Linked DNA regions of Elephas maximus indicus. The protein of the gene in region 1 interacts with the protein of each later gene in a pairwise test. Links are inferred from orthologs where the notes say so. Each region holds a gene or a part of one and is shown on either strand. Other genes may lie near its edges.

What was found. The genes of interacting proteins can lie anywhere in the genome.
Region 2: the proteins of RAB11B (region 1) and RAB11FIP2 interact in binary tests that used the Homo sapiens proteins (3 or more experiments, as listed by UniProt). The link is inferred for Elephas maximus indicus from reciprocal best matches to the Homo sapiens genes RAB11B and RAB11FIP2.

What each region holds. Positions count from the first base shown.
Region 1 is NC_064821.1:13,111,058-13,118,671, forward strand, and holds the start of RAB11B (ras-related protein Rab-11B), read left to right. Parts: upstream 1-4,611; 5' UTR 4,612-4,682; coding exon 4,683-4,722; intron 4,723-7,614. UniProt on the Homo sapiens protein: The small GTPases Rab are key regulators of intracellular membrane trafficking, from the formation of transport vesicles to their fusion with membranes.
Region 2 is NC_064834.1:68,771,743-68,779,435, forward strand, and holds the start of RAB11FIP2 (rab11 family-interacting protein 2), read right to left. Parts: upstream 3,052-7,693; 5' UTR 2,605-3,051; coding exon 2,252-2,604; intron 1-2,251. UniProt on the Homo sapiens protein: A Rab11 effector binding preferentially phosphatidylinositol 3,4,5-trisphosphate (PtdInsP3) and phosphatidic acid (PA) and acting in the regulation of the transport of vesicles from the endosomal recycling compartment (ERC) to the plasma membrane.

The DNA.
Region 1 (7,614 bases):
AAATTTCAGACCATCAGGTCCTTCTTCCTAGCCTGTCTTAGTCTGGAAGCTCTGCCAAAACCTGACCACCATGGTGACCCTGCTGGTATTTAAAATACCAGTAGCATAGATTCCAGCATCACGACAACATGCAAACCACCACAGTACATGCTAAACCTTCGTCCAAATGCTTGGGATACTCTAGTGAACAAAAAGATCCCTGTCCTCAAAATGCAAATCAAAACCACAATGAGATATCACTTCACTCCCACGAAGATGGCTGTCTTTAAAAAATGGAAAACAACAGGTTTTGATGCTGATGTGGAGAAGTTGGAATACTCATTCACTGTTGGTGGAATTGTAAAATGATGCAGCTGCTGTGGACAACACTTTGGAGGTTCCTCAAAAAGTTAAACATAAGATTACCGTATGATCCAGCAATTCCACTCCTAGGTATCTACCCAGAAGAACTGAAAGCAGGAACACAAACAGGTACTTACACACCACTGTTCACTGCAGCACAATTAACAATAGCCAAAAGGTGGAAGTAATGCAAGCGCCTATCAACAGATGAATGGATAAAGAAAACATGCAATGGGAAGAAATGGAGTGGAATGGAGTGTTACTCAGCCATAAAGAGGAATGAAGTTCTGATACATGCTGCAACATGGATGAACCCTGAAAACGCTATGCTGAGTGAAATGAGTCAGTTGCAAAAGGATAAATACTGTGTGATCTCACGTATATGAAATATCTAGAACAGGCTAGTGTTTAGAGACCAAAGTTTGTTAGTACTTACCAGGGAAAGGTGGGGGAAGGAGGTGTGATGGTTAAGATTGTGTGTCATCTTGGCTGGGCCATGATTCTCAGTGTTTATATGTGTTTACTCCCATGATGGAATCTGCTGTGAGTAATCAATCAGTTGAAAGGAGTTTCCCTGAGAGTGTGGCCTGCATCTGAATATAAGCAGACGGTTCTGACTTCTTTGCTAGCTCTGGATCCTGAGGGTGCCTCCTGTTCATTTGACCTCCAGCTCTTGGGACTTGAGCTATCAGCTTATCTGCAGTTATTGGTATTTGTCCATCTTCACAGCCTGTGAGTGGGAGCCCTGCTCTCTGACCTGCCAGTCTCGGGTTTGCAGCCCCTGCAGCTACGTGAATCAATAGAAGCTTCTATCCTGATCCATAGACTTGGGATGTTCCCTACAATCGCAGGAGCTGTTTCCTTGATATAAATCTCTCCTTATATATATTTGGAAACCCTGGTGGTGTAGTAGCTAAATGCTATAGTTTGCTAACCTAAAGGTCAGCAGTTTGAATCCATCAGGCGCTCTTTGGAAACTCTATGGGGCAGTTCTGCTATGTCCTATAGGGTCGCCATGAGTCAGAATGAACTCAACAGCTATGGGGGCGGGGGAATATATATATATTTATATGCTTTACTGGTTTTGCTTCTCTAGAGAACATAGCCTAAGACAGGGGGTGGGGAAGGAGGATTGATTGCTTAGGGGGATACTAAGCTAAGGGTGATGAAAACATTTGGAAATGGATAGTGGTGATGGGTGCACAACATGATGAAGGTAATTAATGTCACTGAATTGTACATGTAATAAAGGTCAAAATGGCAAATGTTTTGTTACATATATATATATTTATCATTAAAAAAAAAAAACCCACCCCATCTGGAGCAAGGAAAAATGAAGAAAACCAAGCCACAAGGGAATTGTGTCCCCCCAAAATGTGACAACTTGGCTAGTCTATGATTCCCAGTATTGTGTGATTGTCTACCATTTTGTCTTCTGATGCAATTTTCCTGTTTTGTAAATCCTACCTCTATGACGTTAACGAGGCAAGATTAGTGGCAGCTATGTTAATGAGGCAGAACTCAATCTACAAGATGAGGTTGTATATTAAATCAATCTCTTTTGAAATATAAAAAAGAGCAGCTAGCAGAGAGACACAGGGATCTCATACCACCAAGAAAGCAACACCAGGAGAATAGCTGTCCTTTGGACCTGGGGTGCCTGCGCTGAGAAGTTCCTTGACCAGGGAAGACTGATGACAAGGACCTTCCCCAGAACCAACAGAGGGAGGGAGCCTTCCCCTGGAGCTGGCGCCCTGAATTTGGACTTCGAGCCTACTAGGCTGTGAGAGAATAAATTTCTCTTTGTTAAAGCCATCCACTTGTATTTCTGTTACAGCAGCACTAGATAACTAAGAAAGGACTAATGGACCACAACCATTCCAGCCTCCACTAGACATAGTCCATCACAACTAGGTGGTGCCTGGCTACCACCACTGACTGCTCTGACAAGGCTTACAACAGGGAGTCCTGGACAGAGCTGAAGAAAAATGTAGAACAAAACTCAAACTCACATAAAAAGATCAGACTTACTGGTCTGACAGACTGGAGAGACTCCGAGAGTATGGGCCCTAGACATCCTTTTAACTCAGAACTGAGATCACTCCTGAGGTTCACCCTTCAGCCAAAGATTAGACAGGCCCATATAACAAACAATAATACACATAGCTCCACCATGTATATGAAACCAAATGGACACACCAGCCCAGGGGCAAGGAGGAGAAGGCAGGAGAGTACAGGGAAGCTGGACAAATGGAAATGGGAAACCCGAGGTCACAGGGTTGGCAACCAGTGTCACAAAACAATATTTGTATTGTTTAATGAGAAACTAATTTGCTCAGAAAACCTTCATCTAAAGCACAATACAAAAAAAAAAAGCTCCTTGTCGTTACACAGCTGATCTTCAATGCCCCACCCATTAGAGATTCTGTGACCTATAATTGACAGTCCAAACTGGAACACTTTTGAGAGTGGAAAGTGTGCTATTAATAATTGAGCCTGATGAAAGGTGTAAAGTTCATTCTCGGCATATTGGGACTTATCAACCCAGTTTTATAAAACGTAAACTTATATCTCTACCACAAATGGAAAACCACTATCACCTGCCTTAAATAGGTTAGTAATGTTAAAAAGAAAAAAACAAAATCACCTGTCTTAAATAGGTTAGTAAAGTTAAGGTCAATGAAGATAAAACAATGTAAAATTCTAGCTCAAAAACTGATCTATGGTGAAATACAGAATAGTGGTAGCCTCAGGAGGGGTGAAATCCTTTGTTCAGCTCTTTTACTTCATTTCTTCTGTTTGTATCATGTTTGGTAAAACAGAGGGTCAGTGAAAATGAAGGAAACTCTCAATGAGATGGATAGACACAATAGCAACAATAATGGGCTCAAAATACCGATGATCATGAAAATGATGCAGGACTGGGCAACGTTTTGTTGTTACATATCAGGATGCCCTGAGTCTAAGCCAGCTTGGGGGCAACCAACAACAACATGGGAAGAGCAGAGTGGGGACTGACAGGGTATAAGGGAGCTTTCTGCCTGAGGGTGATGTTTGGTTACCTTTATAGAAGTGGGTTACTCAGTTATATGCCTTTATCAAAGCTCAGCAAATGTCCCTTAAGATTTGTGCATTTCATTGATTATAAATTTTACCTAAAAATAACAAAAACAAAACACAAAATGAGCTATAAACAAATAACGAACTCTAGTTAAATACACCAATGTTTAGAAGTGAAGCAGACTAATGTCTTCAATTTTTTTTTTAACCGAACTCCAAAACAAACCCATTGCTGTCAAGTTGATACTGACTCATAGAGACCCACAGGACAGAGCAAAACTGTCCCCCTAGAGTTTACAGAAGCCGACTGCCACATCTTTCTCCCTTGGAGAAGCTGGTATGTTCCAACTGCTCACCTTTCAGTTAGCAGCTGAGTGCCTAACCACTGCGCCATCAGGGCTCCTCTATAAAGATTACAGCTTCGGAAACCCTATTGGGGCAGCTTTACTTTTGTGATACAGGGTCACTATGAGTCGACTGACTCGATGGCACTAACAACTGTGATAAATCTTATGGGGGGAAAACAGGGTAAGGGGACAGAGAGAGGCAGGAAGACACGTTGGAGAGTGCCTGGTAACCAGTGAGGATTCATAATATATTTGTTAAACAAAAACTTCATGACATAAAAAGTGGTGAATTAATTTTTTATGTGTTCAGGGAAATAGTCTAGCTATCCTCAAAAGAACCCATGAGGTATCCACAGGAGGAAAATGAGGCACAGAGAACTGACACATGAGTCACCAATATAGAGATGGAAACTGCAATGGAAATCACCTCGCTCACAGCCCCTCGAAAATGGTCATTTACGTAGGGAGGCCAGAGCTGAGTGCACTGACCTATGACGTCACTGGGACGCTGACACCTCCTACACCTGGACGTAGCCCCATTTCCCTTCTCGAGCGGGTCCTCCGGTAGTAGGGCAGGATCTGGAGCAAGGCTCTCATTGGTAATTCGCTCCGTCAATCCGTTTCACTCCTCCAGTCTTCCGCTCCGCCTTCCTGACCTCGCCTCTGATAGGCTAGTGCGGCCATCACTTCAGAAAGGTCCGCATTCCTTCCGCCTTTCTCCAGGAGACAGAAGGCTAAGGGGGCGGGCTCCAGACGGCGCCCACCCCGGAGGCTCTGCTTCCGCCTCTGATTGGCTTTGTCGGGTGCCAGTTGCTCGGCCGCCCGTCGCTGATTGGCCACTCGACCGCCGCTCTGTGCCACTCCGGCTCCGCCCCCGCTGGGTGTTTGTGGTGGGGCTGCGGAGTCGCCGATCCCGCCGGAAGCGCCAGGACAATGGGGACCCGGGACGACGAGTACGACTACCTATTCAAAGGTGCGGTCGGTGGGACACCGACAGGCGAGGGCGCGGCAACGAGGCGGCGGGCAGACGAGTCGAGGCTGCGCTCCGGGCCGTTGGGCCCAGGCCGGAGCTCGGGACCTGGGACCCGTCAGGTCCAGCAGCGAGGAAGGCCGGGCAGACTGGGTTCCGTTAGCTCCAGGCCGGAGTGCGCGGCTGCGAGCAACCGGCGGCCCTGGGAGGCCTGGGGACCCGGGATGCGCCGGGGCGGGGTCGGGGCCCAGAGGGGGTGGGGCCCGGAGCGGTGGGAGAGGCCGTTGGGGTGGGGCCTTCGGAGGGGGCGGGGCCGCCCGGGATTTGGCGGGCCGGGCTGGGCTGGATGGATGACAGAGGGTGGGCCTTCGGGGCGGGGCCAATACATGGTGGGCGTGTCTGAGATGTGGACTGGTTCTGAGCTCAGGGGGCGGGACTCTGGGGTGGGCTGGGCCAGGCCTGTTGGGGGCGGGGCTCGCGAGGGGTGGGGCGGATAATAAGGGGTGTGCCGTCGTGGGGGTCCGAGGTGAGGTACGTAGTGGGGCGACCCTGGACTGGGGTGCACATCCTGAATGGGGCGGAGGAGCGCCTGTGTCTGCACCTGGACCTGGTGAAGAACAGAACTAATGATACTAGATGCTTGATAGCACTCACCAAGTATCTTGTCTTTTCTAAGCAGTTTGCACACAGAAATTTATTCAAATCCTCTCCACAATCCTATAAGGTCGTTATGACTCCAGCTCTTTTTTCACAGATTAGGAAACTGAGACCCAGAGAGACAAGGACAGCTAGTAAGTATTAGAGGCAGTTTTGAACCCTAACCTAGGGAGTGTGTTTGAAGGGCCTTGGCACCAGGACTGGGACTCAGGGCTGTTAGACCACCTCCCAACACATGCAGGCTGATGGCACCAGCATTGGCCAACCTTCTGGGGATCTTCCCTGCCCAAGGAGCACCAAGTATGGCCTACGCGGTTCTAGCCAGCCATTGCTTGCTGGGACCAGCTGAGGAGCTCCTTCATCCTGCCCCTGGAGCTGAGGAGACTCCCTCCCTGTCACTGGAGACTCTGTGCTGTTTTAGGGGTCATTGGCTTTGCAGGAGTCCCTGGTGGTACAAACCATTAAGTGCTTGACTGTTAAGCAAAGAGTTGGTGATTTGAACCCACTCGGAGACACCTTGGAAGAAAGGCCTGGCGATCGGCTTCCAAAAGGTCACAGCCTTGGAGCACAGTTCTACTCTGATTCCACTCTGACACACATGGGTTTGCCATGAGTCTGAATTGACTCCACAGGCACTGGTTTGGTTTTTGGCTTTTGGTTTTGCAGCGGTTTGCATGCAAAGCTGAGCAGTGACCAGGTGCTCTCCTGGGCTCCCTGGCTGACAGTGATCACCCTAGAGAGCTGCTGACTGCCTGCTGCCTGCTGTGTGAGGATTTGCCTCCCATGTCAGCTGAGGGCATCTTGCTCCCAATGGGGTCCGTGTCCAGAGCAGGCCTTGCCACCTCTTGTGTCTGTGGTATCATCTGTCATCTTGAGGCCAGGCCTGGGGTCCTTGAGATGAGAAGAGTGGGGTGCAGGTCTCCTTGCCTGGGGTATCCATGCAGCAAAAAGCTTCCAGGCAGAGAGAGCCCCTGTGCAAAGGCCCAGCAGCATCACAGCCCCATGGGCTTGGGACCTGCCAGCAGGCTGATGCATTGCTGGCAGACACAGCTGTCTGTTCAGTGAGGCCTGAATGTTGGGACCTTACCCTAAAGCTGGGGGGTGCTTTGGAGGGACCCTCTGGGGACGAGTGACCAGCCTCCAGTCCTGTCACACTGGTCCAATCTGCACTCAGCCTACACAGAGGCAGCTACTCTGTAGATCCCTGCTGGGCACCCGCCCTCTGTGGCCCCGCCAGAGCAGCGGGACTTTTCCAGGTCCCTGTGTCAGCTTGCGGTGTATTGGGTACTGATTATTCTCGACCTTTCATTGTTATAAATAACCCGGTACTGAGGATTTGTGCAAGCCATCGTCTTTTGCCCTTTGGGCTCTTTCCTTGAAGTGTGTTCCCAGAAGTAGTTACTGGGTCAGGGGCAACAAAGCGGCCATGCAGTTCCCAGGATGAATCCCCAGAGTCCGCTTCCTGGAAACGCCAGTGTGACTTCGGCAGCAGCTGGCGCGGGGGGTGGCGGGGCGGGGGGGGTGGGGGGTCGGGGGGGCCCTCCTGCCTGCCTTGCTGCCTTCCCCCCCACTGGCCTCCTTTCATGAGCAGGTGCCCTGCTGACCTTCTTGAGGTGGTTTGGTAGTGGATGTCCAGCCCACAAGATCAGCATTTCCCGGACTATGGACGTAGGAGGTGTCACCTTAACCTTACTATGTGCCTCCATCCTAGGACCATCTACTGTCGTTGAATATTTTTCTTTAAGTTCCCTCATTTTGTCACTCAGGTAAATTTTTTGGGAAAGGAAGCTCTCTGTGACCTTGGACCATGGTGACGCCATGTGTGCAAAGTAGAACTGCTCCATAGAGTTTTCCAGGTCGTGACTTTTCAGAAGCAGACCGCCAGGCCTGTCTTCTGAAGCTCCTCTGGGTGGTTTTGAACTGTCCACCTTTCAGTTAGTAACTTTTGTTTTTGTTAGCTGCTGTTGAGTTGATTCCAGCTCATAGCGATTCCCTGTGTGTCAGAGTAGAACTGCTCCATAGAGTTTTCAAGGCTGTGATCTTGTGGAAGCAGATTGCCAGGGCTTTCTTCTGAGGCACCTCTAGGTGGGTTCAAACCGGCAACATTTTGGCTAGTAGCTGAGCGCTTAGCCATTTGCTTCACCCAGGCATCCCACGTGGGATCACCCTGAGTTGGAATACACTCGACAGCAACTAACAACAGTAGCAACAAGTGACTCTGCCCGATCAAAAAGGAGA
Region 2 (7,693 bases), on another chromosome or scaffold:
ATATCTTTCTTGCAATACACCGGTGATCCAAGTCTGTTTCTTAACTGCGCCACATGTACAGCTGTGCTGGAAAAAGGAAACTATTAAATATATTAAAAAATGAGAAGTATTATCAATAAAGATACCTCATGAAGCACGTGGTCCCCGTTTATCCACAAAGTAGGAAAATGTTAAGGGCACAGTACCATATGAAAACCACTTTAATTGCAGCAACATCACAAGCCCTACTGATAATATTTAAAAGCAGTTTTCCCCCCAAAGGTCTAATGAATTCTATGTAATAGCCAGTATAGAATTGCTATAGGCAGAGACTCTGATATTAGTTAGAGTACTGCTCATAGCCAAATTTATGGTAATTACGGTGCTGCCAAAGACAAGGAGTAAAAACAAGAAGAAACTTTAAAAGGTTACTTCATCCTCAGTATCTTCGGATTCACACTTGGGCCTACTTTCACTTGGAAAATTTATATTTCAGAGAAGGCCTGTAATACATTATTCATTAATATTAAAAAGACTGTAAATGTAATAAATTTGAAGCTACGATATACTTCAAAGTCTAAAAACACTGTCACTTAAAACTGGCAATTCAATACGAATTATTTGGAAATTATCCATTTTTTGTTTTAAATCTGATGAACTCAGAGAAAACTGAGATGACACTTTTTAGGAATCAAATAGTTTTGATATTAAAGTCACTGAGATGTATTCAACTTTACAATTTTTTTTAACCTTTTCTGTTTCTTAAAATATCTTCATCTTAGTTTAAATGTTTACTATTTTTCCTCCTGAATTCCTACTATTTCTTATCTCTCTACCCTTTTACTCTATATAAAAAATCTTAGGTAAAGACCTCATTAAAAAAAAAGAAAAAGCCCAGTCAAGAGAAGCCTGCAGGCAGACATGCATAAAAAAGAACAATAGAGAATTTAAAACATAAAAAACTCATATAAACTTTAAGAAAGTTATTATTTTTAAAAAATTTTAAGAGAAAATAAATTCCTGACTGAAAGAAATATCAAGGCTGTCTTGGAAATTTCAAGATTTAAGTTCAACCTGTATTTTTCTCTCATTAATTGCATTAACCTTACTGTTCTCTCGGACCGGAAAAATTTTAAGTTTAGGGAAGCAGTGAGTGTATCTATCTCTGAAAACACACTATTTTTCACTTTAAGCTATGATATTCTATGTTAACTTTTATTATGGCTTTTTTTTAATTACAAAATATCTAACCCAAGCTTGAAAGTCATAGAAGACCACGTTTCCACTGAAAATGTCATTAAATCATTTAATCATAAGAACTGTCTCCAATCTTAGAACATTTAATATGGCCTACACACGACAGCTTTGCAAAACTAATTCTAACACAACACACTAGCTTCAACATATTGTATATTCAAAGGAAAATACTGTGAGTGTGTTCAAAGTTTAGAATGTTTGTACACACTTTTAAAACTTTTTTTTCTTAACAGCTTTAGACTTCACCAAGATGTACAGACCCTGAAAAATGGTCGAGTTAAAATAAAGACCAACTGTGTTTAGAGTCTTGAAATGAAATACTGAGTTCTAAATTTGGTCATTTATCTCTGACACCTTCAGAGTTCAATGTTTATATTAAAATGCTGTATTGGCAGATTTCATTTTCTGATGTTCCATTTTACGGAAAAGTTTCATGTTTAAAACTCATTAACAATTTACACATGTGAAGTTTTAGCTGTTAAACACTGCGATCCAATCCTTTTATAAATAGTGAAACAGTGTTAATTTGCTTAAAATCCGGTGCAAAATATTTGATTATTTAACAATGTTTACCTCAAACAGAAATGAGAGGAGAGCGGTCTTTAGCGACTCCATTTAAAAGTGTCTCTTCAACGACTATTTTTACTTCAGGACCATGCAAACAAATATGGTGCTTAAAACCTGGTCCTTTTGCAACCCCAAAACCAATGCCTCAAATACACAAATAATTTCCAAGAACAGAAAATCCATAAATAAGATATACTTAAAGTCCACCCACTGCCATCAACTCCATTCCCACTCAGAGCGACCCTACAGGACAGAGTAGAACTACCCCATAGGGTTTCCAAGGCTGTAAATCTTTCTGCCACATCTTTCTCCCGCGGAGCGGCTGATGGGTTCCAACCACCAGCCGTTCGATTAGCAGCCGAGCGCTCTAACCAGTGTGCCACCAAGGCTCCTAAGATATACTTAAAAAAAAAGCACCCCCAAATTCAAAATAAATTGCATAACTTACTCTGTTTTCCTTCTTTGTTTGTCCTCAAAGATGTCATTGAGATTGATTGCCACCTGCCCTAAAAATTTATCCAGCCCCACCAGGGACCTGTGCATAACTATGAGGAAAAGGATGTATTTCTCTGGATTCCCCTGCATTAGCAGCCCTGGTAGCTCAAAGGAGGCCTCTTCCTTCCAGACTGGCTCAAGGGTTTTCTCAGCTACAGAGGTGGAGTACTTCTCCTTGCCCAGCTGAATGATAGTGTACGTGTCATTGGTACCACTTTTGCCTTTGGGCTTGAGATCTTTGGCTTGGAGCACTGTGACCTGCACGTGGGTTGGAAACCACTTTTGGGCTTGCTCTGACAGCATCATTCTGCCCTTTTTCTCTGCTCCGAGTCCCCAAGCGCAGGCAGTGCCCCTCGCCGGGGGACAGCCTAATGCTTTGATCACTGCATCTTAAGGGCACTTAAGGGACACCAGGCGAACTCGGCGCTGGCCCACTTCCCTGGGGATGATGATGTCAAAACGCCAGCCTGGGGCAGCACGGGGGTACGGCTGCTCTGGGGGTCCCCTTTCCTCCGGAGCAGCAGGGGCCCACCATCACCTGGCCGCGCTCCAGGCCTCCCCGCGGACCCCCGCACCTCGCCTCTCCACTTTCCCGCTCCGCCCGCCCCGGAGACCGGTCTCGGCGGCGGGCGGCCCCCGGGCCTGCCGGCAGGTGAGACCCGGCCACCTGGGCCCGGCGGAGGCTGCAGAGGTGGCAGGAGGCCTCTTGGGAAGCAGAGGCTTCCGAGCTCCCCCTCCGCCCGAGTCCTGCGGCCCCAGCTCCCGCCGCCTCCTCGCGGCCCGGCCACCTCCGCCTGCCGCGCGCCGCCCGCCCGCCCGCCCCGCGCTCGCCGCGGGCCCGGCCCGGCTCCTCCGCCCGACCCGGGTAATACGAACCGCCGGCGGCCTCGCTCCCTCTCTCAAACCTCGCCCTCCTCCTCCCCCTCTCGCCTGGGCTCCTCCTCTCGGCGGGGGCGGCCGCGGGGGTGGGGTGGGGCGGGGCGGGGCGCGGGCGCCGGCAGGACGCCGACGGGCCCGGCTGAGGCGGCGGGCGCGGGGCCTGAGCTCGCGGGGCCGGCGGCTCCTAGCACCGGCCGGGCGGCGGCGGCGGCACTTCCGGGTTGCCCTTCTCCATGTTGATCTCGGGAAGGCGAAGGGGCGGGGCCGGAGGGGCCGCAGGGTCAGAGGTCAGCACCTCCCTGGTTGCCGTGGCGACCGAGGGCGCCGGCTGCAGAGCCACCCCTCCCCATGCTGGGTGCTGCTAGTTTGGATGCTGCACCTGATGCCCGCGCCTGGCACCGTGCTGGGTGCGGTGCCTGCAAGGCCAGGTGGAGAGCCCCGGGGGGGAACTGGGGACTGCTCCCGAGAGGAGGTAACCAAGGCCCCGGGACCTGCTGGAAACTAGCGAGAGAGCCAATTTCAATTTTTGAAGGCAGGGAACCCGTCTTGCTGTCCCCTGGTTGCCCGGTGCCTGGCACAGAGCGGGCGTTCCATCAGTGGTGGTGGAAGGAACTGGTCCCCTTTTTTTGACGGAAAACCCTTTTCCCCACACCCTTTTCCACCCCTCTGTGAAAGGAGAGAAACCTGTCAATAGACTGGAGATGACATCCGCACGCAGACGAAAGGAGAGAGGGAAGCAGATAACAAAAGATTCCAAGACTAACACATGAGTTAATAAAGATCGCGAGAGGCGCTGGACTGGAGTCAGAAGACCTGATTCCGATCTCACCTCTTCCGCGCGACCCTAGTCAAGTCATTTCCCCTCCTTCGGCTCCAGTTTTTCTTCACGGGTAAAACTGAAGCCTCCATCGTGTCTAAGACTCAGTGTCGACTCAGAGGCTCAGCATGGAAAGCGGCCCTCCCCTGTGGGCACTCACAGTCTGGTAGACTACCCAGATCATCTGGAGACCTTGCCCCAACTTGGAATGCCAAACCCACAGACTTTACTCCAGTAATACTCCTTTCAGCTCAGAAAGGCAAACAGCCCATTTACTTCATCGTGGGGACCTTCACGCGTGCCTTACCTGCGCTAAAGCCGAAACCAAATGGCCACCAACGCGGTTGGAATGGAGGGAGCTCTGTTCAAAGAAGAATATGGGGATAAATTAATTGTGCGCTTTTGGGGGTGGGGGGGGGCCGGTGCTAGCCTAATCCAGCGGAGAAAGTACTGGTAATGGCTGATGATGAGGCAAAAGCTTTGTACAAAGCTCCTGATGGACACCTCCAGAATGAGGCTGGAGATAGCTTCTGGGAATCTCGGTTTCCTTGTCAATAAACTGTAGATAAAATACCTGTTAAAGAGTTAAGACGAGTGGTATGAGATAGTGTACATTTCCTAGCGCAGTGTGGCACCTAATTCTCTATTTCCATTGGCCTCTCTACTTCTCAGTTATAAGGGGGACCTTTGTACTACCTTTTATTGCATTTACTTCTGTTGGTGTCTTAGGTAACAGCAAGGGAATTTCAAGCACAGGTATTATGGACTCTCCTCATAGAGCCTGGCATGCAGTAGGTACTCCAATTTATTGAATAACTGAATACCTTTTCTCCTTTACACAGATTTTGAGAGTAAAGCAACATGATAGATGGGAATACTCTTTTCCAACTTAAAATGGCTGTGCGAACGTAAGGCATTGTGTTCATTATTTTCAGGCAGGGTTTTAAACGTCTTCATTCAAGGAGGACTTTATGCACTCCATGTTTTCTCGGTGTCCCCATGTTTACAGGATCCTAGCTGCAGCATTTAAAACTCTAAGGAACAAAAAAAAAAAAAAAAAGGAACAGTGAAGTTAAAAAAAAGTTTTTTTTTTCTTTCCATTAAATGCTTTTTGCATGGGGGGATATGAAGACCCAATATATTCGTGTCACAAAGTCAGCTATACAGTTGAAGAACCTTAGAGGGGGTAACGTTATGCAGTCATTTAATCTCCTAGAGGGAAGATACTTCCCTGAGCCTGAAGGATAAGACTACAAACCTCAAAGACCACCCAGGTTCCAGCACATTCTTTCAGGAGTCTGCTGACACTTGCTAGTGTCTATAAATTTCCCTTCATTTATTATAAATTTCAATTTTTTAGTACTGTTTACCCATATAGTAGCTGGTGTGAGTTCTGTATAAAGTAGGCGCTCCCAAAAGAAACACTGGATTAATTTACTACCAAGATCTTCAGGGAGCCTAACTACAAGTAAATCTTGAATAATCCTGAGCTAAATACCATTTAGGATGAAAAGTCCTAGGTTTTAAGTCATTCAAATGAAATTTTACTATGAAGCATAAAAAAAGAGGCAGAATTTTCCATCTCTGGGAGCTAGTGTGTGAAAAGGCCATGTGTGGAAAACAGAACAAAACCAGAGTCCTACAAATACAGCATCTGGATCCCAGAGTGGGCAACTGTCAACTTTAAAGAGAAATAGTCTTAAGGATTTTTAAAGAGTTCACTGAAACAGTCAATGGTGGAATCTCATCAAGATCTCCAGGGAGAAATAATTCGACACCTGAAACTTACAAAAACAAAATAAACATCATAAAGTCAAGCTTAATTAAGTTTAGGATTTTTATAAGGTGCCTTTTTAAAAGTCTTCACATCTCTATTAAAGGTTATAATTAAACAATAAGCAATTATAATAGCGGATGTGTGTTTCTAAAGAGCTTAAATTGTTTGGTACGCTTTATTAATGATTATAAACTTGTTTACAAGTATCATTTCACTCATCTCTGAAACATAGCCATCTCTAGGGTGGAAGTTGGCAGCAGTAGTTCACAGCAACACAACAACACACTCCAACACAATTCAAAGAATACTCTAAAGGCAAGAACTGAACAAACTAGAATTACTAACATCTCTTCCTGTAGTACCTACATTTCTTTGGAGTTCTCCAAAACCTAGCTAGAGCCAAAATGGTTTAGTTTTACTATCTGGCAAGATCAGAAGTTATGACTTCATGTTTGTAAATCAGAATAAGAAAAACAGCATATTTTTGCTCCTGAGGGAAACAAACAAAATGGGCTAAAGAGAATCTGGAATTGCTTTATAAAAGTGAAATGATTTCCCATAGAAGAGTAGTTTTGTTGTTGTTGTTTTATTGTTTATATTAAGAGAGGAGCCCTGGTGGCTCAGCTGCTAACCAAAAAGTCGGTGGTTTGAACCCACCAGCCACTCTGAGGGAGGAAGACGTGGCAGCCTATCCATAACAATTTACAGCCTTGGAAACCATATGGGGCAGTTGTACTCTGTCCTGTAGGGTCACTGTGAGTCAGAATCAATTTAACGACAATGGGTTTGGTTTTGGTTTTGTACTAAGAGGGTAAAAAAAATGTCACTTGGGTCAAATATACGGTTGGCTCAGAGTGAAAAATAATGGCAATTACGTAAGCCCTGGGATCAAAGCAGTTCTGCCAAAATGTTTACTGGCTCTGTTTTAAATATTCTTTTTACTAATTTTAAGATGTGCATGAACGATAATTTAAAAAGGAAAGGATTGTATGTGTAAGGACAACATACCAGAATAGAAGACAGTCTTTTTTTTTTTTTTTAATCCTATGACTAATGAAATGTTTGGCACAATTTTTCCAAATTGGGGGAAAAAGTTCATATCGTAAAGGGAGAAAATCCTGAAAATTCTAACTTTAAATTGTCAAAATGCCTGCTGCGATGAATAAAAATGATTGGACCAGAAAGTAAAAATAGTATTTATTCCCTAATGGTGGAGCATTGTGCAGATGACAGTACTTTCTGAAGGGTGTACTTTTCAGTCCACTTCTGTAAGGGGACTCATTTCAAGCATTGTGGAGGATTTTTCCTTTGGATATCACTATCCGTATGAGAACATCTTGCAAATCTGTTGTAGAACAATTATAGTACTTTGTGTTCAAATGGCCCATTTGGTCAAGAGTGTTAAGATTCTCATTTTATAATGGATGGTAATTATTTTCCAGATGGGGATTCAGGGACCTAAAGATAGGAAGAAGTTTTCTCCAAGGTATCATTACAATATTCAGATTTCAGACTCATATGTATTTTATACACACACACACACACACACACACACACACAGGGTTCCCCGGGTGGTACAAACTTAATAATTAAGTGCTTGACTGTTAGCCAAAAGATTGGCAGCTCAAACCCAGAAGACAGGCCTGGCAATCTGCTTTCGAAAGGTCAGGGACTTGAAAATATGATGGAGCAGTTCTACTCTGCACTCATGGGGTCACTATGAGTCAGCACACACAGGTACACAATTCAAATGTATATAAAATTTATATACATATGACAAAGCCCCAGGGGTATATTGGAGATATGTGAATAGACAGATCCCCACGTCCGTCAAAAAGTTAAAACAAAAAACTATTTGGCTAACTGATTTGAAATTATATTTGCAATAAAGCAGTTTGGGGTTTTTTGGTGGTTTTTTGTTT